Notamacropus eugenii: one gene and its partner. The protein of the gene in region 1 purifies or fractionates together with the protein of each later gene. This does not show direct contact. Links are inferred from orthologs where the notes say so. Each region holds a gene or a part of one and is shown on either strand. Other genes may lie near its edges.

What was found.
Region 2: the proteins of DACH1 (region 1) and JUN purify together in Homo sapiens (affinity purification with western blotting; 3 studies listed by BioGRID and IntAct, with this or other methods). This does not show direct contact. The link is inferred for Notamacropus eugenii from reciprocal best matches to the Homo sapiens genes DACH1 and JUN.

The regions. Positions count from the first base shown.
Region 1 is NC_092877.1:266,361,414-266,373,812, forward strand, and holds the start of DACH1 (dachshund homolog 1), read left to right. Parts: upstream 1-7,397; 5' UTR 7,398-7,682; coding exon 7,683-8,587; intron 8,588-12,399. UniProt on the Homo sapiens protein: Transcription factor that is involved in regulation of organogenesis. Seems to be a regulator of SIX1, SIX6 and probably SIX5.
Region 2 is NC_092873.1:518,944,962-518,957,648, forward strand, and holds JUN (transcription factor Jun), read right to left. Parts: upstream 6,735-12,687; 5' UTR 5,766-6,734; coding exon 4,716-5,765; 3' UTR 3,378-4,715; downstream 1-3,377. UniProt on the Homo sapiens protein: Transcription factor that recognizes and binds to the AP-1 consensus motif 5'-TGA[GC]TCA-3'.

The DNA of each region.
Region 1 (12,399 bases):
TGGCCACATTTCTCAAGGAGAATTTTTTGTTATTTTGGTTTTTTTCCCATGAACTCTAACTACAAGGTGTGTTTTTACTGCCAGTTGACTCTGATCAGGACATGCAGTATTGTATTTCAGGTTGTGGCTCTGTAAAACCCTGGAACTTTCTTTGAAGTTAAACAGTGTCAATCTGTTTCCATGTCTGAATAACTCTGTGAAGAGCCTGCCTGACCCAAGTCAACCCATTGAAACATACTACTTTGTCATAATTGATGTTCCAAACGAATGTCCTTTCATAATAAAATGTGCTAGAAAACAAAACAGCTTCTCATCCAGTGCAAGTTGCATCATAATTAAATTTTATTTTATCCCATCGAGGCATGCTAAATGTTGAGCAAAATATAATTTTAAGTAATTTGTTTGTATTCTTATCTGTAGGAGTTGGAAATTAACAGCGTTGCTAGTTTGCGTTTACTGTTAAGCCTGGAGAGCAGAGAGATTGCTTTGCAAACATTACAGTTATTATGTCTGCAGTTGGTACTCTTTGTATAAATTATTGATCAGCCAGCTTATTTTTCTTTCTGCTTAATGGATATTATAGCATAGCCGTTTACAACGCTATAGTTAAGGTTGTGTCAGCACTTCCATTATAATAAACCCTCTGTTACAGGGGTTTATAACTTGCTGTAAAAATTTGCTCTGGGCTGAAACTTGACATACAAGATCTCAGGCTAGAAGGTAGTGATTGCTGTTCTTTTAACTTTTTTAAAAATCTCTTTGGCTGGTGGGGTAGTGTAATAAATAAATAACCACTTTACTGTTTTCTAGCAGTCTTTTACATTCCTTTAACTGACTTCAAATGGAACAAATTATATAGGATAGATTGTTGTACCAAGAACCAGACCCTCCCTTTTGTATTTAATAAAGAAGAAAGAGACTCCATATTAATAAGCTTAAGAACCAGACACTATTTAACAGAAACTTTTACCAACAGTTGGGATGAATTTTAATATAACATTACATAAGAATATATTAGTTCATATTTTTCTTTTGTACTTATATAACAGACTAAACAACTTCTCCCTCCATGTTAATTATGTATCTTTTAGGCAAAGTATATACATTGTATCACTATGCCCTATGTCACATATTTGTGTATACACTCATAGGCATCTGTGAAGGAAATCTGACAGATACCAATATATTTAAAAAGAAACATTACAATTTGTGTCATGAATTCCAAAATAAGGGTTTTAAAATACAGGTTGACATTCTGACCTTACTTCACTCTGCTGGGTCATTCTTTTCACACAATGGCCTGCTTTAAAGATGAAGGGCTTTAGTTTCAATTTCAGTTCCTAGAACTGTTTCTTCCTTTTGGTTCCCAACTTTTAACCTTATCTAAGCACATTTACTTTGATATTAAAATTTGCCTGACAACTTTTATTATATATTCAGCAGATGAAATTGTAAGCTCCTTACATTGTGGAAACACTAATGATAGTAAAGTACAATTAAATAATCTTAAGGAGTTGATCAGCTGATACACCAAGGATGTTGTTTAGTCACAAAAAGTTGTCTAGAAAATTTTCTTATCCCACTTTTCCGTTTTGGTTTTACATTCTTAATGTGCACAAGCAAAAATGACTTGATCTGACCATTATTCAATCAGGAAAAAAAGTTACGTACATATATATATGTTTGAGGGGAAGATGAAGAGAAGGTAAATTTGGTATATCTCTCTGTCAGAGGTGTCTATGTAAAAATGGAAGGTATATAGAGACCTATCTCATGAGCCTTTAGTTCCAAGAATTGTAGAATTAGAGTTTCTACCAATATATACTATACATCCATTCACTGATTGTGAAGCAAATATAGGATTAGTTTTAACTTCTTAATAAGCTCTTAATGCAGTGAGCTCTTCAAGTTGCTAGCTATCTTAAGGAGTTTTCACCTTTGGTTTCCTCAATTTCCTCCTTTGGGGCAACTTGGGGGTATTTATAGCTAAACTGTCAGTGGTCTGAGAGAGAATACACCAGGGAGATAAAAGTCTTCCAGTTTCTATTAGTGGTGGGGCCGGGGCAGGGGCGGGGGCCAGCGTTGAGGAGAAGGCTGACCAGAGGGAGGTTCATCGGCTGATGTAGGGAGCTGGGCAAAAAAGCTGAGGGTGAAACAGAAAACTAAGAGTCTTTTGTTTAAATTACTGGAGTTTATCAGGGAAGCTGATTGGTGAGGCAGTGTGTCTAAGTTAAAAAGGCTTGGGAGAGTTACTTGGCATAATTTCTCCGTCTTCAATGATTTAGTACTGAAGTGCAAACATCAATTTTGGACTCTCTCCTGAGAAACATTTAACAAAACCAATGAACTACTGGGACCCTGATACCATTCTGGATTTGCCAAACTTCAAAAGCTGTTTAATAAACCTTGCTCGAAGTTTGTAGCTGGTTATGCTTTTTCTCCCTGTTTAAGAAACAGGTTCGTAAGTAAATATGCAATCCCAGGAACAGAGATGTAAAAAAAGGGTCTTCCTCTTTACCCTCCATTGTGATATATCTTCGAATTGTTCAGAAGTGCACACTATTGTTCAAGCTATTTGTGCCGGGTGTGCTAATGCACTCTTTGATTGAGTGAATTAGCAGTCATAACAATCTGGCAGTCTGGCCATAGAAGTGTGCTCAAATTGATTTGTGTTATGGCTGGACTGGAAAATCGAGTGTTAGTTCTTTTTTGCCCTGGGGCACTCTTTGTACCAAATTCCACTTTTCATTTAATTTTCCAATAGATTTCGAAAGACTGAAATGTTTGCGATCAACATTTGATCCACTTGCATTATTTAAAAAAAAAATCTTGTAAGTAATTTCAAATTCCAAAAACCTTGCTTTCAATTAGGGTAAACATAATTAGAGTGACGTCGTGCTTGGAATGGTAAATCTCCCTTTGTATCTATTAAGCATGTTATCTTGTCCTGTCACTGAAAGGAATTCAGTTTGTATTTGTGTTGTGTATTTCTGTGTGCTGGCTTGACTCAAATACAACTGAGGTGGGAGAAAGACAGAGAAAAGAATGATAGTCATATATCCTTTCTTGCAATTTGAGCGTCTAGTGTCAGTCATCTGACCCCTGAACTATATCAGTTTCACTTAATAATGTTATCAACAGTGGATCTAAGTGTTTTCAAGAAATATTCAGATGTTCAAGAAATATGATCTTGATACACATTGACTTTGTTACACAATCATTTGATTTTCTTTTGTGCTCTAGGAAAGGTACAATTTCAGATGTTTCTCCCTCAGATTTACAAGAAGTTCCAGTGGATATATTTACACACACGTGTGTGTGTGTGTGTGTGTGTGTGTGTGTATTAGATGTCTATTAAAACCTGAGAATGAAATGAAATTATTTACCCTAGTATTTTCAAAATGTGTATCTTTCTTACAATATTCTGCTTTTCAGTCATTTATCAAAATTACAATTAAACATGAATAAACTTTAAAAATGAGTACTCATCTCAGAGAAAGTTTTATGAAATGATTTAGTCAGTTTCCCCACTTGAGAAATCAGGGAATAGTATAGGTCAATAGGTAAAGAAAGAATGAAATATAATAATATACTGATGTATTTCTCTAAAGGGAAAAAGGCAAAATAAATCCAGATGGAATTCATGTTTTAAAACTTAAATATGAACATGAGTATCAATTCAAAGAATGTCTTACTATCTCCATGGCACTCTTTGCTATCATATGTTGCGTGCTGTTATGTTTTCTTTTCTCTGTAGACCTTGTGCTTTGTCGTTGCCCTTTGGAAACCAAAAGGCTGTGCCCTGCACAGGGCTAGAGTGCCTGGAGTCTGTCGTTCAGGAGATATTCGCTCAGACTTGAGGAGCAACATTGTACCGTACACTTTCTGACTATATCTTTCAACATTATAGCAAGTCTCCTCACTGGATTTCATAAAGCAATGATCTCTAGTAGTGTGTGTGTGTGTGTGTGTGTGTGTGTGTGTGTGTGTGTGCGCGGGTGTGTGTGTTGTTTGTTTGTTTGTTAAGTAATAAAACTACAAGACCTATCAGCTAGCTTACTGTTGGTGTAGGTTCTCATTCACCCAGAAATGGTCCCTGGGGAAGGTGGGGTAGGGTAGGAGGAGAAAGGGAGGAGGAAGGATAGTGGGAGGAAAGAGAATACCTGCCCTGAACAGTTACAAGAGTGCAAGAGAAGCTCAGCTTCAAACAATATCCTAGGAAAGAAATTAAAGACTTCTTAATTAGTGCAGCAATTAAGCTTTCTTGGTAGCATTTTAATCAGCACAGGCCCTATCAAAGGACAAACAGAACAATTTGCAGGTCTTTGAATTTTAAACAGTCTTATTGATTTCAGCAGAATAAGTCTTCACTTGACACAGGGAAAATTTTCAAATATCAGTGACTATACTTTGAGCTTAGAGGAAGAGACGATGGGGGAAGAGTGTTTGAAATGACCTGAGATGTAAAACAAACAACCAACCAAAAATACCTTGAAAAGCTATAAGTGAGAGGGATAAAGGGATAAATTCAAGTCCTTCTTAGATTGATACTTCTGCTAAGGACAATTCAAGCTCACTTAATTGTTCCTAACATTTCTCAAGCAAGGCACTCTGAAGATTTTTGCACCCTTCCATAAATATATTTTTATTTTCATTATGCTTAGTTCCTAATGCTATCGTCTGATCAAACAAATGCTACACAATGATGAACCTTTTCAAACTATGGTTTTCTTTCAACTGACTGAAAACCTGAAGATTTTCTGTCTCAGAACTCTTTCAGAAGGGACAGACTCCATAATACCCTACTATATAAAGTAAGCACGTGTTGTGGGGCACAGCTTCCCCCCAACATCATGGGTCCTCTTAGAAGTTAAGGTAAAATGGTGACATAATTGAGGGTCATGCTCTAGTTGCAATCGTTGCCTCGCTTGTATGTTACAGGAATGTGGCATGGTTGTGTATGCATGGTACTCTGAGTTAATGTGGGAAACCAGAGGGGGTAAGGGCAGCTTTTCAACACTTGTTTTGCATTGTTCTCATTTATGGGTAGAGAATTCAAAATGATAGAACTGTGGTCTAACATTTTTCAAAGTAGCTGAAGTTTTTATGGTGACATCAAGCTGTGCCATTATAATTAAAGTTGTGTTTGCATTTCCAATATAAAATCAGTTTTACAAGGGTTTGTAACTTTTCTCCCCCTGTTGAATATGAAATCTGCATTAAATATGTTTTAAAATAAACATGTACTTACTGTTTTTGATATTTTTAAGTGCATATATGTACATATACATCCTCACATTGGTACAAGAATTTATTAGATGAAGACACCTTTGATGACCAAAAGAATTTCAACTTTTTTAAAAAGATAGCTGACGTTTGATACCAGGCAGGACAAACAGTTGTCTACAGATTTAAGATATCCTAGAAAGTGTTGTATATGCTTTCCTTCCATGATGTGGACCAATAAGAAAATTCTGGCGAAATAAGGTACCTTTTTTTTAGGATAGATGTGAGTAGATTTTTGACATAGCTATGTTTTTCAATGCTTTTTGTATTCCCTCAAACAACAACAAACAACAAATTTTCAATAATAAGAAAAATAATATTTTAACTAATAAGACATAGAATTTTCAGTGTATAATTCAACAACATGGACTTACAGCTTTCAAAATATATACAAAACTATAATTTCTGTCAAATGTGTAATGCATCATTTCACACCTTGCAGAATTAGATACTGCGCATGTGTAGAGAAAGCCTAATTATTCAAGATCCACAGAGATATAGACAGAGGATTACATTGTGACTTATGCTATTTTAAATCACCTGTTGGTCAGAGACCCTTTAAATACTTAAATGCAACAGGTTAGCTGAATGTAAGAATAAGATGAATTAAAAAGGTGATTGAGAATAATTCTACCAGTTAATTTTTATATATCTCCACTTTGTTTTTTCAGGTCTGCTATTTAGGGGTGTGTGTGTGTGTGTGTGTGTGTGTGTGTGTGTGTGTGTGTGTGTGTGTGTGTGTGTGTGCGTGTGTGTGTGTGTGTGCGCGCGTGTGTGTGTGCACGTGTGTGTGTTGAGTGTAATTTCTTAAAATTTAGACAGAAAGGATATTCCCATAGAATGAGTTAATTTCGAAAACTGTAAGTTAAAAGAGATCTTTTATCATAACATACCAGAAAGTCTTTTGTCTTTTTTAAACAGAGTAACATTTTGTTGTTGTTGTTGCTGGTATTCACTTGAATTTCTCACAGTTTGAGATCCATAAAGTACATAAGTGTGTACCTGCTTTATATTTAGCTAGCCTTTCCTTTTTGAAGTCAGAGGATCTTACATCTATTTCTGACTGGCAAGGAAACATAGCTAACCTGTGTAAAATCCACATCGAGAATATCTTTTCATTTTTCTTTTCCCCCTACAATCTACTGAAATACAGAGCAGATAAAAAGAACATCTGCTATTATTATGTTAGCAATTTAGATGTCTGATTTCTTCCAACTTTCAGTCTATGATCTGTATTTACTAGCCCAGCTCAAAAAAAAACACAAAAAAACGTACTCACAAACAAGTGACCAAACAAACGAATGAATTAAAATCATACGTTTAGGTTTGCATAGGAACTTTCCCTAAAGTAAACTAAAAGCAAATGCAAACCTTCATAAAGATGTATGGAAGGAGAAAGTGTATGTAGATCTTCCATTTATACCTGATTTTCTTCAAAATCATTTTAATACGTCCTAATTCCTATAAGAAACTGTTCAAAGTGCTTTTGTTCGTCTTTAAGTTGACAGGAGATTGCTTAGATGCGTTTGGAAAATTACATGTCGTCGCGGATGAGATGAAATATGAAACATGTAATCTAACGGTAGTATTAAAAGAAAAGATGATCTCCCTTTCCTTTTTCGTCCCCCTCCCATTCCTCGCCCCCCCCCATCTCCCCGCCGTCTATGTCGCTCTCTCTTCACCTCCCTCCCCACCCACAATCTCTCTCCTCACCCTTTTTCTCCTCCCTCCCTCTCTTTCTCGTACTCTCTCGTTCTCTTTCTCAGTATCTCTCGCTCAGTCTGTGTTTCTCTGCTCCGGGTTCCTGGTTGGATAATTTGGGTTAATACTAGTGAGTGAGGTTTTTGAGGCTTCAAAGGGTATTTCAAGTTTCCGGAGCTCCTCCCCTCTGCACCGTGTGACAACAACAACTCGTCCAGAGAGCAGCCAGCACTTTTCAGCTCATTTTCTCTCTGTCATTCCCCTCTCAATCTTTGATCAATGTACTTGCCAGAGAGAACCGAAGTCCTTCAAACCTCCTCCTTTTCACCTTCATCTTTAACTTTGTGCTAGAGCAGGACCCAAAAAAACAATAGCCAACCCTCCCCCCCTCCCTCCCTCCCCCCTAAAAAAATTCAGCCCCCAATCCCAGCCCCTGGAGAGGACTACTCATTTGGACTTGCGGGACACTTTTGTGCGTGTCTCTCCTGCTTCTCGTTCTTACCCCCTCTGCCCTTCATTCTCCCATTCCTTTCTCTTCTCTTTTCTTTTTTTCATTCTTCTCTCTCTTTCCCCCTCTTTATCTTTCTGGGGATTTTGCTTTCTCTCGTTCGTTCTCCCCCTTTCCTTCCCCTCCCCCTGGTGTGTGGCAACTTTTTCCACCCCCCAATCTCCTTCTTCTCCTCTTATATGTCACCATGGCCGTGCCGGCTGCTTTGATCCCTCCGACCCAGCTGGTCCCCCCGCAACCTCCGATCTCCACTTCTGCCTCCTCCTCCTGCACCACCACCTCCACGTCCTCGGCGACCTCCTCTCCGGGTCCCTCCATCGGTCCCCCGGCGTCTTCAGGGCCAACCCTCTTTCGACCTGAGCCCATCGCGGCGGCGGCGGCAGCGGCAGCGGCGGCGGCGGCAGCGGCGGCGGCGGCGGCCACGGTCACCTCCACCAGCGGCGGCGGCGGCGGAGGCAGCGGCGGCGGCGGCGGCGGCGGCTGCACCAGCAGCAACGGAGGCGGCGGCGGCGGCGGCGGCGGCGGCGGCAGCTGCAACCCCAGCCTGGTCACCGCCAGCAGCACCAGCAGCAGCGGTAGCGGCGGCGGCGGCGGCGGCGGCGGCGGAGGCACCTCCAACCCCAGCCTCAACGTGAGCACCGCCAGCTGCGGCAGCAGCAGCAGCAGCAGCAGTAGCAGCAGTAGCAGCAGCAGCAGCAGCAGCAGTAGCAGCAGTAGCAGCAGCAGCAGCAGCTGCGGCAACCTCCCGGGGAAACCAGTGTATTCGACCCCTTCCCCAGTGGAGAACACCCCCCAGAATAATGAGTGCAAAATGGTGGATCTGAGGGGGGCCAAAGTGGCTTCCTTCACGGTGGAGGGCTGCGAGCTCATCTGCCTGCCCCAAGCTTTTGACCTGTTCCTAAAGCACTTGGTCGGGGGCTTGCACACGGTCTACACCAAGCTGAAGCGGCTGGAGATCACGCCGGTGGTGTGCAATGTGGAACAGGTTCGCATCCTGAGGGGACTAGGGGCTATCCAGCCCGGGGTGAACCGCTGCAAGCTCATCTCCAGGAAGGATTTCGAGACCCTCTACAATGACTGCACCAACGCAAGGTAAAGGGGGGTAATCCCTTAGCACCCAGCTCCCTCTTAACCACCCGCCTCCGCCCCCCTCTTTCTCGTCTTTCAGTCCTGCAGCCTCACCAGCCCCACCGAACCTCGGCACTCACCGAGTCTCTCTTTCCTTTCAGTGGTATTGTTGACAAGCCTGACCAAACTGAACCTCATCCAGTCTGTCCTGAGAAGTTGGAAAACCCATTCTCTCTATCCTGCGCTTACTTTCTCCCTTTTCCTTTTCCCCTCTCTTGCCGGTCCCATGCCCTCTCTCTACTCACCAGTAAAATGTTAAACTCTGTGTGCAGGGGAGAGTGGGCGGGGGGGGGGGGCAGTGAGTGCTTTGAGTGTTGAGGGACTTGGGAGAAAGGGGAGAATTGAGAGGAAGGGGCTGGGCTGGAAGCGTGGAGAACATTGAATCTTGCGGGGAAACTCATTCCTCTTCCAGTTTGCTAAAACCTGAGAACACCTACCTTGTCTCACCTCTGCCCTCCCACCGCGTGGAGTGAGGCTCCCCAAAGTCAGGCACTCCGGAGTGCGAGTCTCACTGAAGTGTGATTTTTGTTTGTTGCGGAGCGTGTTTCCAACGGGTGATTAAGATGAGGTTGGGGGAGGTTGTGAAAGGGGAAGATGCGGAATCCAACTCGAGGCATCAGGTTTTCCCAGCCAAGCAAATGGGCTGGGGGTGGGGATGGGGTGCTGGAAAGATGGGTTTCGGAGTAAGGGATGAGAATGCGGGGAGTAGTCTCCCTCCCCGTGGTGAAGCTAAGGAAATATGGTCCCGGGATAACACTTCAAAGTCTAGGGGCACACTGTTTTGGCGTCTGAGAATTGACCCAGTAATTGAACTATCAGTGTCCCATTTCTCCAGGGTAAATTTAGCTACAGCATATAAAGGGGAGGGAGGAAAGAGATACGATTCATATTCTGGAGTGTGTGTGCGTGTGTGTGTGTGTGTGTGTGTGTGCGCGCGCGTGTGTGCAAGTGATTGCCAGAAAGGAAGGAAAGTGGAAGGAAAGTAAGGCTGTTGCCATGGGGCAAAAGAGACTCAGCAGGCTGGTTCTCTTCTGGTGGGGTGGAGTTCCAGATACCGAGGCTTAACTGACTTGGGGAGAGGAGAAAGATGCCAGGTCCCTGCTCTTTCTGAGGTCGGTGGCTCAGTGAAGAAGCAAGTGCGGGAGTTGGGCTCGAAGGTGCAGTCGAGTTCCCAGTAGCTGCCTGGGAACCGAGGAGTGCCTTGGCTGTATTAGCCACGGGTCCAGTTCCAGAGCTGTTTCACTGTACGTCTGCGTGCTCGGAGGGGCAGGATTGTACCGGGAGGGGGCGGGAGAGGGGCAGCTTTTAGGGATCTGGAGATTGTAGGATCCTGGATCGTTCCTCAAACCTTTTGCCAACACACACACACACACACACACACACACACACACACACACACACACACACACACACACACACAACCTCTCTGGCACTGCAGCTCATCTTTTGTCCCATAGGAACGATGGAGCAAAAGTCAAAACCTAGAACAAATAGAACAAAATAGGAAGGGTGTAGTGAAAGTTAAGAGTTTCGTTTAGAGATGACAAGGGCAGACGAGAGGGAGGGAATAACGTGCATAACTGCCCTAGAAAAATCAAATGCTATTGAAATAAACGTGAAGACCAGAACAGAGAGGGCTCTATCTGCACATGTAGCTGATTAGGACGATAGGCTGGGCTGGGCGTGAAGGTAAGAGTTATTTTAGGAAGTAACCAGAAAGGAAGAGCTCCCCTGTTGTCCGAAGGAATGAGAACCGGACTCACAGACTGTCAGACTTGCATCTTAGCTGGCTACCTTGAGGGTAGTGATAAAACTCAGAAGATGAGAACCTTGTGGTGGGGAGAGGATCCTCTTAGCAAACGTCTCGGAACTGACTGGGTGCAGATATTCCCTTTCTGGTAGTTATCTGGGAATCAACATACAGGTCCCAAATGTCGAAAAAGTCAAAAAAGATTAAGTTGCAACATGTAAGAACAAAGCTTTGCCGCCTCCTTCTCCCCTCTTTTACGTTTATATTTTTTTATGAGACATTCCTTATTCTACTTGTTTCTGTATGCTTATCTGGGTGAGTATAAAGAACAGGTGGCAGTTAAAGGACTGAGGTGGGGGGGTAGGGATAAGGAAGGGCCTTCATTGGGATAATATGGCCAGGAGAGAAACATTTACTAATAACTTACAGATATCATTTTGGGGGCTACTTGTCTGAGTAGGAAACTCTTAAATGGTCTGTTTGAAAGAATGACAATTTTTATTTGAAGGAAGTTTAGAGATAGATGATCAAGTCTGTAATTCTTTGCAGGTACATTTTCTTTTAAAGTAAATCTTATTGTTGAAAGTTCAGTATACTTCGATTCAGTAAACAAACAGCAAGTCTAAGTTCTTTCTGTGTATTACAGCACAAACTGTACCAGTAAATCAAAGGTCACTTTCCATTAAATCTTGGTTAAGAACACTTTCCTTATAATATAAAATGATAAATATGCCATTTAATTGCTCACTTAAATAATTATGTCTTTCTCGTTTTCTTCAATTTTGTTAGTGTTTGGAACTGAAGTCTTTGTCATGGCCTATAAAAAAAAGCAGCCTAAGTCAAAATATTTTAAGAGTTTCTGCAGAGGTTAAGAATAGTTCTTAAGTTTATCATCAGAATGATTCAGTGTGCTTTAAAGGATAGATGCCCCAGAATTGAAAGACAAGTTCAATCCATTAGATCACATCTTTAGTTCTACTTACCACTTCAAAAATATCTTATCATCACCGTGATTATACTGTTGTCATCTGGTATTAATACTTTAGTTTGCAATTAAATGTGATGTTCCACCAAGCTTTCCCAGGTGATTTTCAGTTTGAAGATGTATTGGTTGCCTCCCTTGATACATTTTGATCTTTTACTTAACACCATCCTATGCTTATATTAATATCTGTAGCATACAAGCTCTGTCACCATTTGTTCATGAGATATTTTGCTACTGAGATTTCCTAATTCAACCAGGGATTCCAGAGCTTGGAGGTCTAGGGCTGGGGCTTGCAGTGCTTTATTTTGCCACAATATGCTGTCAGAACTATAATAGTGTGTTATTTAAAATCAATATGACATTATGTTTCCTCTGGAATAGTTTTAAAGAAGTAAGCACAATTTCTTGTGTCTAAAGTTTCAAAACTAAAACAACTCTTTCCCCCTAAAAGGTAGTTTAGCACCTTGACAGTAGAAGCATTAATTTCCTTGCCTTGAATGCTTATTTTACTCATCTGGATTTTAGTTCTCTTGTTCCTTGTCCTTTATGTTTACTAAAAAGAAAAGAAAACCCTTTTTGGCTTATAAAAAGGAAGAAACAGCACAAGTCAAAAAGGACTGCATTAGAAGGCAACTTAAAAATGAAATAATGTCTATTTTTCCAATCTCAGTAATCACATGCTTTTATAAAAGCAAATGTAATTATCTATTGGCATACCCTGGAAGATATCCCCAGTGTTCATATGGGTAAACTGAGGAATCACAATATTAACTTACCCAAAGTCATTCCACAAGTTATTAAGAAAGTTTGAATGGAATAAGATTAATCTCCTTGGTTTGACTAAGTGTAGTGTTTCTTAATAGCAAGTAAATGCTCAGTTAGTTGGTTATTACCATTAAAAGCAAACAAAACCAAAAACAGAAGAAAAGGAGGGGATCAAGAGGAAATCACCTATGGGTTAACCAGAGCTTACAGAAAGACTTCAACATGGGATGGAATTCAGGGGGTGTAGAAAATGCAGGAGAATACATGTAGAAGTTG
Region 2 (12,687 bases), on another chromosome or scaffold:
AGGTTTTAGGTTTTTTTTATTCTAAAGATAGTTTTGACCTCATGGACTCCCCGAAAGGGTTTTTGGGAACACATATCAAGAACTGCTGGACTAAATAAACTCTAAGGTATCTTTCAGCTCTGGTTTTGTTAGCTTACGAATCCTCTAACAACCCTGTGAGGTAGGCAGTACAGTGCAAGCTTTATTATCTCTTTTTTATAAGAAGGAAGGAAATAAACATTTATTAAGTACCTACTATCTTCCAGGCACTTTACAAATATCCTCTCACCCTGAGAAATGCGATTATTTTTCCCATTTTTCCGTAGAGGAAACTAAGGCAGGCAGAGGTTAAAAGAGTTTCCCAGGGTCACACAGATAATCTGAGACAAGATTTGAACTCAGGTGTTCCAGGCCCAGCATTCTATCCACTGCTCCACACAGGCTACCTTTCCAGATGGGGAAACTGAGGCTGGGGAGTGAACTAAATGGTCCAAGGTGACCCAGAATTAAATAGGGCTCTTTCTAAGACACCTGGCTGCCTCTCACTTGAGCCCAAACTCTCAAGTAATTAATGATTACCAGACCCATAGATGAACTCATTCAAGTTCTTTTACCCCCAAAGGAAGGTAGGCTTCTAGGGTCTGCAGATAACCTATTGGTAAGAGTACCCTTCAGATGCATTGTCCTGGAATTCCCTTCCCCCTCCATTGTGTGCTCATTTATCCACTTCAGGTATTCACTCTTCATTCCTGTTGGCTTTTATGAAAGAATGTCAGCCATGTGAGGAAGGCTGTTCCAAGGCCTGAAACACTCCAGGGCCAGGACTAGAAGGCTGAGTTTCAGAATCATTTTTTTTTTTTTAACAGGAGTTCAGAGCAGAATGGGGAGTGGTGTGACCTTTCAGCATTACACAGTTTTGTCTGGGGTTTCGTCTACCTTTGCAGGTAATTAATTGCCCAGCCTGTTTATTTTTCTAGTCGACTCTTGTTTGGTTTCCACAAAGCCCCACCCCACGGCAGTAGTATTTGTCCCTTGCCTGACTATTCCTACATATGGTCAAAATCAACTTACCTTCCGGGTTGCTGACATGGGCAAATTTACTGTTGGCAGCCACCGGCAGCCTCCCAGTAACCCTTTGTTTGGGGAATGTTATTACAATCCAGTGCATCTGATAGCACACGTACCGTCTGCATCTCCAACCATCAGAGAAACCACCACCAGCCTTTTTTGGACTTGGAACCGCAACTGCGAAAATTCAGACAAAGAGAGGAGCAGCTTGAGGGCTATCCCAGGCTTCTAGGGTAGATCGGCTCAGTGTCCTCCAAAGAAACTTGTCTTACAGTCAAGAGATACGAGTTCAAATCTCCACTCCTGCTGTTTAGGAAGACTATGCCCTTCACAAAGTCAGCTGTTTGATGAAATTTTTTATTGCCTTTAAGCTTCACAATAATCTTGTGGGAGGAGTGGGATAAAGATTAATATCTTTATTTTACAGATGGGTAAATTGGGGCCCAGAGATGGGAAGTGATTTGCCCAAAGTTACATGGACAGTCAGTGATAGAGGTAGGTAGGCAGTGCCAGACAGAGGGAAAAGCATGCCATTTAGTCAGAGGGCTCTGGGTTTAAATCTTCCTTTCCTCCCTTCTTTACACTACTTTCATAGTCTCCCCTTTAGACTATGAGATCTTTGAAGGCAGGGATTATGTTTTTGTCTATCTTGGTGAATTTAGGTTTAGCCCAGCGTCTGAGGAATGGTAATTACTTAATAAGTGCTTGTTGATTGGCTTGTGTGACCTTTGGGAACTCAATTAACCTGCCTAGGCCTCAGTTTCCTTATTTGTAAAATGAATTGGACTAGGCATTAGACAGCCTAACTTCTAACTCTAGAGCTATAACCTGATGTTTCTGGAGTAGCAAGCACATAGTCTTCTCTTATTTACAAGCTGTGTGACATGTAGCAAGTCAGCCCCTTTCTCCAGCCTCAGAGTTCTCATCTGCAAAAATCAGATAGTCTTGTGTGTACTTGGCCACCTTACAGGGCTTTTATACAGGGAAAAGAATCTTCTGTACACCTTAAAGCAATAGAGAAATGTTCATCTATTGCTAAAATGGAAAGGGTCCCAGAGTCAGAGCCAGGCAATGTACGTTAGAAACTTGGCTCAACACTACTACTCATGTGATCACCAGCCAATCTCTTTCTCTCTCCTCATCACAGCCAGTTTTCCTTATCTGTAGTATGGGGATGATAACATGTTCACTCACTACCCACCTCCCAAACTACTTCACAAGATTTATTGTAAGGATCTAACCAACTCATGTAAACAAAGCGTTGTCTTATATTTCAGAACTAGTTTATAAAATATATCCCTGGTTCTATATCTATCACTTTTACTGTTTGAGATAATCCAAATGAGTCTTGGGAGAAAAGCAGAGTCCCCTTTCTTTGTGTTGCTTCATACTTTGTAGCCTTGTGACCTTCTCTGAGCCTCAGTTTCCTTATCCATAAAATGGGGATAACATTTCATTCAAAAAGAATTGGACTCATTGGCCTCTCAGGTCCCTTTAACTCTAGATCTATGACTCCATGACCCTCTGGTCATTGAGAAGATCAGATGAGATGATGTACATAACGTATTTCACTACAGTTAAAGCCCTCTAGTTAAATGTCAGCTTTATTATCTTATCTCCCAGCAGACAAAGCTCGAGTTTAACCCCAAAGCTGAGTTGTAATTTCCATCCTAATCATCCTCATTACTTGTTAGGATTCTCCAGCTCCAAGGCATTCAGATGATTATTATATGAAATTAGTCCTTTAATAATATAATGGTAAATAAAAGCTAATTAAGAAATTTCAAACAAGGAAACCTCTAAAATACCAGCAAACTTGACTTCCCCGAGATATCATGGGTGCTTGTTTCAGGAAAAAAATAAACAATTATTTTCTCCTCTTGGGTACCAGAATTTGGCCAATTAGGGGAACACTAAGATATCTTTGAAAATGTTGCTTTTTAAATGTATTATGACAATGTCAGGTGAGCTACATTCCTAACATTACCTTGGGAGGCAGCTGGTCTAGCTCAAAGAGTTAGAGCAAGCGTTTGGGCTCTGTGACCCTGGGTCAGTTGGTTCCCCTCTCTGTGGGCCTCAGTTTCCACAAAAATGCAGGCCATATTTACAGCTACCTTCCTAAGACCGGTGCCCCATATATCATAAACTGCTATAGAAAATACCAGTTACTATTGCTGGGATTTCTTCACCCCTTTACCTCTCAGCTTTAGAGAGCTGGCTAGGTGATTGCTGTAAAACACTCGACACTTCAGCCCTTCCAATTCTAGAAGTTATTTACTCAGTAGGTTGAATGAAAAAAATAGTTCAAAGGGAAAGAAAGTCACAATCTCTAAAGGGTTAGTGAATGATTTTATTTTGACAACAGTGTTGTCATATTCATAAGCAAAGATCACTTTTTTTTAACCTAGGGATTATTCAACAAAGAGGAGACACCACTTGGAGTAAATCCCGTCCCTTCGTACCTTCCCGGGTCTAGGACCGGTTTGGAGAGGAGCAGCTTTTGTCCAAGAGCCAATCGCATCAGGAGCTGTAACAGCACATGACTTTGGATACAATCCTACACTTCAAGGCTGCATCCTTGAAAGCTCGGAGTTGTCAGTTTCATCAACAATCCTGTGGGAATCTTTGGGGGAGGGGGAGGGGAGGGATAAAGGGAAAACACTTTGGTAGTACTATACTCATCAGGCACATGTCTTTCCACAGTAAAGGGGTGGCTGCTTGGTCCCCACGTCCTCAAAGCAGGTAGCACTTTTTCGAAGAGGGAAATTTAAGGAAGCCCTCAAGTCTTAAAACCCAGCCTCTGCCCCACCCCCATCCCCATGACTACTAAAAGCTATACAATGCATAAAAGGTGGGGTGGGGGTAGAATAGTTTAACAGTTTATTGTATTTTCTTAAATATAATAGATCCTTTCTGGAATTTTCAGAAACAAAAAGCATAAAAAAATTATATACTTTATTACAAAGGGTAAATATACCCAGAGTGTTCCAAATCTCTTATTTACAAACAATGCTTGGTAGGGCCCAAACGGAACAAGACAAAACATAAAATAACTTACAAAGGCATGAAGCTGTTTATTGACATTAATCAGCTTTCATAAAATAAAAAAAATAGATATATACATACACAGTTAACTGAAAGGCAGGCAAGTGGAGTCCATGGTATTCTTTACCCTTCCACCCCCCCTTTATTTTTCTCTTAAGAAACCTCCCTCCCAACCCTCCCCCCCCAGTTTTTTAAAGAGTACTACAGAAGCAAACTACAGGTCTCTATGGAGTTTTTTTTTTTCTTTTTTTCTTTTTTAGACCTTTTAATACTGAATGATCATCGAATGTTAGAGGTCCATGCAGTTCTTGGTCAATGTTAAACATGGAGCTGACAGGTTCTGCCCTCCGGGTCCGGCAGGGAGGGTGGGGGTGGGGCCATCCCTTCTGCCAAACGGTACTGTCGGGGGGCTTGGCCACTCCGGACTAGCTCAAGGCCTAAGGCTTGGCCAGTCCCGCCCCGACATGTGCGTGGGGGGCGGGGAGGGGGCGGCCCAGTCCGGGGCTCAACACGGGTCAGCTTGATCTATCTTTTCTCTGACACTTTGCTGTGCCTGTCTCTCCCTTCCAAACGCAACCAACGCGTCAGTCCAACCAAGTCCGTCTCTTGTCTCCCAGGGCTGCTCAAAACGTTTGCAACTGTTGCGTTAACATGAGCTGGCAGCCGCTGTTCACGTGGTTCATGACTTTCTGCTTCAGCTGGGCCACCTGTTCCCTGAGCATGTTGGCCGTGGACGCCAGCTCCGAGTTCTGGGCTTTCAAAGTTTTCACCTTTTCCTCCAGCCGGGCGATGCGCTCGAGTTTCCTTTTCCGGCACTTGGACGCAGCGATGCGGTTCCTCATTCGCTTCCTCTCGGCCTTGATGCGCTCCTGGGACTCCATGTCGATAGGGGACAGCGGCGGTGTCTCGCCGGGCATCTCGGGCACCGTCTGCGGCTCCTCCTTGAGCGCCTGCAGCCGGGGATGCTGCACGCCCGGCAGCTGCGGGCCCAGGGGAGGCTGCGGGTTCGCCTGCTGCGCCTGCTGCTGCGGGGCCGTAGGCTGCGAGGGGAAGCCCAGGCTGCTGCCACCGGCCCCGGCCCCCCCGCTGGCGCTGCTGTAAGCGGGCGCGCTGCCCAGCGCGGAGCTGGGGGTGAAGTTGCTCAAGTTCGCGTAGACAGGGGGCTCGCTGTGCAAGCCTCCGAAGCCCCCGGCGCCGCCGCCGCTGCCCGCCAGGGCGGCCACGGGGGGAGCCACCATGCCCGCGGCCACGGAGGCGTTCCCGGGCTGCGCGGCAGCCGCCGAGGGGACACCCGGGAGAGTGTTCTGGCTGTGCAGCTCGGCCAGGGCGCGCACGAAGCCCTCCGCGAAGCCCTCCTGCTCGTCCGTCACGTTCTTGGGGCACAGGAACTGTGTGGGCGTGGGCGTGGTGGTGATGAGCCCGTTGCTGGACTGAATGATGAGGCGCTCGAGCTCCGGGGAGGCGAGCTTGAGCAGCCCCACGTCGGGCGAGGTCAGCAGGTCTGGGTTCTTGTTGCGCAGGTGGGGCTTGAGGCTGCTCACCGGGTCAGCCAAGTTCAGGGTCAGACTCTGCTTTAGCACCTTGGCGTGGCTGTAGCCGTAGCCGCCACTCTCCGGCTGCACGAAGGCGTTGAGGGCATCGTCGTAGAAAGTAGTTTCCATCTTTGTAGTCATAGAACAGAGCAGGTCCCCTCCAAGCTGGCCGAGCCTAGACGTCCGTCGGTCCGTCTGTCTGTCCGCCCGCCTGCCGCGACTCGCAAAGTTAGCAAGGAGAGGCGGGCTTAGGGGCGCGCTCCGGAGTTCGCCTGGGGAGAGCTCAGCACCCCAACTCAGCCAGGGGGTCGCGAGCCCAGCTGGCCCCCCTCCGGGCTCGGCCACGAGGCGCGCTCACTCCGCTGACTGCTGTCCCGCGCGCGCTCCTCGGCTCCCGTTTGAAAAGTGGCGGCGATGGTGCGTCCGGCTGGAGGCGTCCCCCGGTCTCGGTGAGTGGCCGGCGGCTGGATCAAGCGGGTGACAGCGGCTCTCCCGGGCACGGGCGAGGGAGCCCGGCCGGGGGGGTGGAAAGGACAGCGAGGACGGGAGGTCAGCCGGACCCCCCCGAAATCCCAGTCCTTGGCGGCGTCGGTCCCCGCCTCCTCCGGGCTGGCAGCGAGCGGAGGGCGGCTGCTGCGCTCCCGAGCGCGGCTCGGGTCAGGGGCCGCAGCGGCAGCCCCTTCCTCGCTCTCCTCCGCCCGCCTCCGGATCGCTGGGTTTCGTCAAAAGTTCGCTGCGGGCTCCGAGAACCACTTGTGTCTCCGGGAAAAGTAGCGTGCGGGGCAGCGGCCCCTCGGCCGAGCTGGGCGTGCGCGGCGACGGGGGCCGGGGCGCGAGCCTGGGACCCCCGAGCTGGAGCTCTCGGGCAGCGGCAGAGACAAGAGGGGGACGGTCCTGGCGGGACGGCTCGGGGCGCCCGCGCTGCTCTGCGCTCCTCTGCGCTGCTCCGCCCGGCGGGAGCCCACGGGCCGGCCGGATCGGATCGGGGGCTGCTGCGGCTGCTGCGGCTGCCTGGGACCCCTGCCTGCCTGCTGCCTGCCTGCCGCCTGCCTGCCGCCTGCCTGCCGCCTGCCTGCCCGTCCCGCGCCGCTCAGCCTAGGCTCTCCCGGCCACTCTCAGTACAACTCTGAGCCCGTCTCCAGCTCGGAGCTCAACACTTATCTGCTACCAGTCACCCCCTAAAAATAGCCCATGATGTCACCCCCGCGCCTTCCCATTGGCCCGCGTCGCCCTCAGGGGGGAGGGCCCGCCCGTCGCCATGGAGACCCCACCCTAGAAGATTCTTCTCCCGGGCCCCGCGGAGGCTCACGGGATGAGGTAATGCTCCGCTGCCCTCCTACAGTCGGGCCCTTCTTTCTCCCAGCGCTCCCCCCTCCCCTACCCGGCCCGCCCCGACCCGCCCGGTGCATTGTGGGCTGACGTCTTGGGGTTGGACTGTCTAGTGACGGCGGTCTGGCGGCTGGGGCGGAGGCGGGCTCAAGTTCTAGGTTCGGTGGGGGTGGGGGCAGGGAAAGGCGGGAACGCTCCGAGGGTCGGGGGCCGTTACCAGGCGGTGGGGCGGAGACAAGGGAGTATCAGTTCTCTTCTTCCGTCCGCGGACGCGGGGGGCGGGGGGCTTCTCCCAATGCGCTCGGCCTGAAGTTTTCAGGGACTTGCCTCCGCGCCGCCTTCCCCCACGCCCTGGGACTCATTGGTACCGCCCTGAAGGTGGTTCGGTCCCTAGGGGCGGGGAGCCGGAGGGAGAGCGGAGGCGGGGGGGCGAAGTATCGCGAGATCCGCTCCCTTCCTCTCGCAGCGACTGCAAACAAACTTGGGTACCAGGGAAGTTGGGGCCCGGGAACGCCTCGGAGTGTCCGGGCTTGGAGCGGCCGAGCGCGCTAGCATCTTCTCCCGGCGCCGCGGTGGGGGCAGGGCGGCCCACTGGGCGGATGAGCAAACTGAGGCAGGGGGGACCCCAGGACGTCTAGCCCTACCCCTGCCCCCTAAACGGGGGCTTGTCCGGAGCCACAGCTAGAAAGCAGCGGAGGAGGAATTCGAACCCAGGGCAGGCAGGGGAGGGAGGAAGACCTAGGGTCCGAGTTTTACTCTGTGACCCTGAGCAACTCACTGAAGGCCATGTGCTTTTATTAAGCGCCTACTGTATGCCAGGTTCTGTCGCTAGCGCTGGGAACATAAAAAAGGGGCCGAGCCTTTATTTTCGCCCCTTCCCCTTTTGTGCGTTGTTCCCCAGAACCCCCAGAAGGTGAACCCTTTGAGGGCAGGGACTGCCTTTTACCTTGTATTTGTAGCCCCATTGCTTAACACACGGTAGGCGTTCAATAAATGCTTGTTTAACCTTTCAGAGACAGTTTCCTAATCTGTAAAAAGGTGGGGAAGTTGTAGGGGGGACTGAACTAGAGGGCCTTGGAGCGGCCCCCCCCATCTTCAGATCCCTTCCCAGGTTGCTACTAGCCGTGTGACTTTAGGAGAATCATTTCCCAACCTGTAAAACTGGGGGGAATAGATAGCGCCCCCCTCCCAGCACAGGGTCGTTTTGAGGATCCAGTTAGTTAACTTGTAAAGTGGTTTGCAAACCTTAGACATCTAGAGAAATTGTTTTATTAGTAATGATATTAAGTAACATCTGGTAACATTAATAGCAACATAGTATCATTTAATGAATGACGTATCATCATCGTTTCACTGAATCTCACTGGACCCATTCCTAAAGTGAGAGAGAGACCTCTGAGATCCATTTCAGCCCTCCCCCACCAAAATCTGTCATTTTACTCTGGGGGAACTGAGACCCCGAGAGAAGGGCAGTGGCTTGTCCGAGGTCACATCGTAAGGTAGTGACCGAGCCAGGATTCCCACTTGGGCTGGTAGATTCTAATCTCAGGATGGATTCCATTATCCCGTGAACTCTGACCTTCGAATTCCAAACCCTGGCTGGGTATTCGTACAGGGCCTTCCTCAAATCCAGGTCAGCCTTCCTAGCAGCAGTGGTTGCTAAGCTGTGGGAATTCCTTAACGCCCACCCACGTTGGGAGATCGAAACTCATTTAGGACAGCCGGAGGCTTCGAGAAGTCGGCTGTCTGTAGTTAGCGGGTGGGATTTGAATCCAGGTTTTTCCGGACTGATAGCCTAGCGCTCTCTCTCTCTCTCTCCCTCTCTCTCTCTGTATGTATGTGCGCGCGTATATATATACATACATACACATACACACACAGATATACAAATGCTAACAAATATGTATTTAAAAGAGCCTACGTCACTGGATTGCTAATCGAGTTGTTAATAATAATAGCTAAAATTTATATAGCACTTTGAAGTTTGTAAAACGCAGTTACAAATATTAGGTAATTTGATCCTCTCAACCATACTGGGAGGCAGGTGCTATTATCTAACCCTACGAGGAAACTGGGTCAAAAAGAAGCTTAAGAGATTTGCCCAGGGTCACACATCTAGTAAGTGCCTAAGGCAAGATTTGAACTTGGGTCTTTTTGACCCTCCTTAGGTGTCTGTATTTTGGGGGAAAGAAAAGGGAAAGTGGGATTAGTATCAGAGGAGATAGCGTAGGTAGTAGAGACTTAGCATCCAGAGCTTAGGAAGTGTCCATCAATATATGTAGTGAAGACCCCGGCTGGATGTAGGTACAAAATAATATAGAGAAAACGTCAGGGTCTTTGGAGTGAGAGGATTTAGTTTTTGTTCTTGTCTCCAATACCTAATACCCTGAGACTTGGGACAAGTCAATCAACATTTTATTAAGCTCCTACTTTGTGCCAGGCACTGTGCCAATTGATTGGGATGAAAAAAGAGGCAAAAGACAGTTCCTGAATTTCTTCAAACTGTCCAATGATGAGATTAAACTCCAAGGGATTTTGCTCTAGCTCCAAATCTAGGATCCTTTGATAGGGAAAGTAACTTTCCCTTTCTGGGTATTATTTTTCTCAGGGGTAAAAGCGGGACAAAAGTCTTTTTTTCTGCCTTTTTATAGAGTTTCTGTGAGACTCAAATTTGAGGATATGTATGGAAGTATGTCATAGTTCTCAGTAACATAGCTAGCATGGACATATCGTTTTAAAATGTGCAGTCATGCCAAGTCAAAAAATATCTATTAAGCTCCTATTATGTGCCAGGCACTGCACTACCCAATGGCAATATCTACACAGTCCTTGCCCTCACAGAGCAACTAATTGAATGGGGGAGACCACATACAGACAACTATGCACAAACAAATTATAGAAGGGACAAATCGGATGTAATCAACAGAGGAAAGGCAGGAGCATTTAGGAGAATCAGGAAAGGCTCCTTGCAGAAAGTGGGATATTGTCTGAGTCTTGAAGGAAGCCAGGAGGCAGAGATGAGAAGGAAGAATGCTCCAGGAGTGGGGGAGAACAAGTTAGCTCATTTAATCCTCACAATCACCCCATTGTGTGGGTCACAGGTGGCTCTGTAGGTGGCTCTAAATACTCCCTAATGGAGTCCAAATCTGACTAAAATATACCAGGGAACTATTTAACAAAATATCTAGAAACACAATAAAGCATAGGTAATGTTAATTTGTGGTTTTCTAAGTCAATATGCAGATGGGAGGGATCCTTATGTAGGGCTTTGTTGTTCAGTAATGCCCCACTCCTTGAGACTTCAGTCGGGGTTTTCTTGGCAGAGGTACTGGGGTGGCTTGCCATTTCCTTCTGTTCATTTTAGAGATGAAGAAACTGAGGCAAACAGGGTGAAGTGACTTGCCCAGGGTCGCACAACTGGTAAATGTCTGAGGTTGGATTTAAAGTCAAGAAGATGAGTCTTCTTGACTCCAGGCTTGGGGATCTATGCCCTATGATGCCACCTAGCTGCCCCTCTTTATTATAAATAACCTTTTTATCAACGGGCCATTTTACAGATAAGGGGACTGGAAACCAGAGTTGTCCCAAGCCAGGCAGTGACACTAAGTGACAAAGCTGGATTTGAATCAGAGACTTCATTAGGGAAGGAAGCTTTCCTTTAAGTCTCCCTGCGGCTAAGTCCTTTCCCTTCTCAGTTATCTACCATTCATAGTCCTCTAATAAATACTTTGTCTCCCTGAATTCAAATGTAAACCTTCAGAGGGAGGAACTTTGCTTTTTCTTTGTATCCCAGTCGTCAGCTGTGGATTGAACCCTGGTTCCCAAACATGGAATCCACCCCTTTCCCATTCTTACCTCATCTTACCTGGAGAGAATTGAAACCAGAGAAGGGACTTGCCCCAGGTCACTTAAGGTAGGTGGTTTGGGCCAGTCAGGCAGCATCAGAATTGGACCTAGAACTCTAAGCACCTGACCTCCTTCCAGTACCTTTCCCCTCCCCACCCTTTCTTCTCCCATTCATCCCAGCCCCTTGAGTGTGGTCAAAGTATCTGTCGTCCACACAGCACAGTGTCTAGAAACTGTCTGGAGTCATCTGAGTGGTGGAAAAGGGAGTAGAAAGGTGTGTAGTGTCATTGGTACAAGGTCTGTTTTCCCTGGAATCAGGAGAACAGGTTAGTAGGTGAGAAGTCAGTGGAGCTCTGGTGTGGTTGGCAGGACTGGCCAGGGGAAGGCTTTGGTTCCACATCCTGACCCTGTCAATGACGTGGGGTGGGGGAAGGGAAGAGGAGAAGAACTCTGAGGTGGAAGTCTGGAGACCAGAGTTCTGATCCTCAGTTTGCCACTGACTAGTTGCAGGATAGTGGGTGAGTCAGTTGCCTTCCCTTTCCTCCTCTGGGCCTCACTTTCCTCCTTTCTAAAATTATGGTATTGAATTATGTGACCTTGAAGGTCCCTGTCCAGTCCTGATATCCTAGGATTCCATAAATACGCACTAGAATGCTGGAGATCAAAAGGCAGCGGGATGATACAAGAGATAGAGATAGCAGCTGCTATTATTGTGAGACTCACATGAGATAAATGCTTGGAACGTGTTTTAGAAATCCTGAAGTGCTTTATAGAGATTGGGACTGTACACCTGGGACTGGCATAAGAAAATCTGCCAGTGTAGGGTGGCACCTTCTCTGTAGGGCAGCTATGTGACACAGTAGAGAAAAGCATTGGGCTGGGAACCAGGGAAACTCATCTTCCTGAGTTCAAATCTGACCTCACTAGCTATATGACCCTGGGCAAGTCACTTCACCCTGTTTGCCTTAGTTTTCTCATCTGTATAATGAACTGGAGAGGGAAATGGTGAGCCCCTCCAGTATCTTTGCCAAGAAAACCCCAAATGGGGTCACAGAGAGTCAGACACCACTGGAAAATGACAGAACCACAGCCACAATCTTCTCTGTAGTCTTAGAGGGTTACCAAGAGCCCTGACCAGTTAAGTAGCTTATCTAGGATCACCCATTCCGAATGCAGACGTATTATATAGATTCTAGTCTTTGATTATCTGTGACTATTTTATTCTTCTTGACTTGAGAGTTCACCAATGTGACAGCAGAAGATGGTGGTAGGTGAGTCAGCTAGTGTCCTCTCATTAAAACAATAGGTCTATGCTAGTCATAAATTACTGAGAACTATGACATACTTCCATACTTATCCTCAGGTAGCTCTCTGCCCTCTCCCTCTGATGCTCAGCTAGGTCCCATTTCCTGGGAAGATTCCTGTCCCAAGAAGCCTTGGATAGTTATTGATTTTGAGTCAGAAGGGAACTTACAGTTGATTCAATGTGGTCGTGTCTCGTTCCCTGTTTGGTGAAAGCGAAGAATGGTGGAATATCAGAGCTAGCCAGAACTATGGAAATCACTGAGTCCAACTGCTTTACTTTACCATGGAAGAAGCTGAGGCAGGAGTGACCTATCTCCTAGCTGCCCAGTGTGGGAGGTCAGCATTGTACCCATGTTCTCAAACTGCCCTCATGACAGTGGTGTGAGTCCTGAGACACAGGAAGATGGACAGGAGGAGAATGGAAATAGAAGACTTTAGGTTTCTACCTCAAGTTAGGTAGGACATTGCTTGACTGGAAAGTGTCCAGAGGAGGTCGACCAGGATGGTGGAGGAGCAGGGAATGCCCCATCCAACACCTACCATACTCCAGCTCCCTTCTTTCTGCCTCTGTTTCTAGTTTATC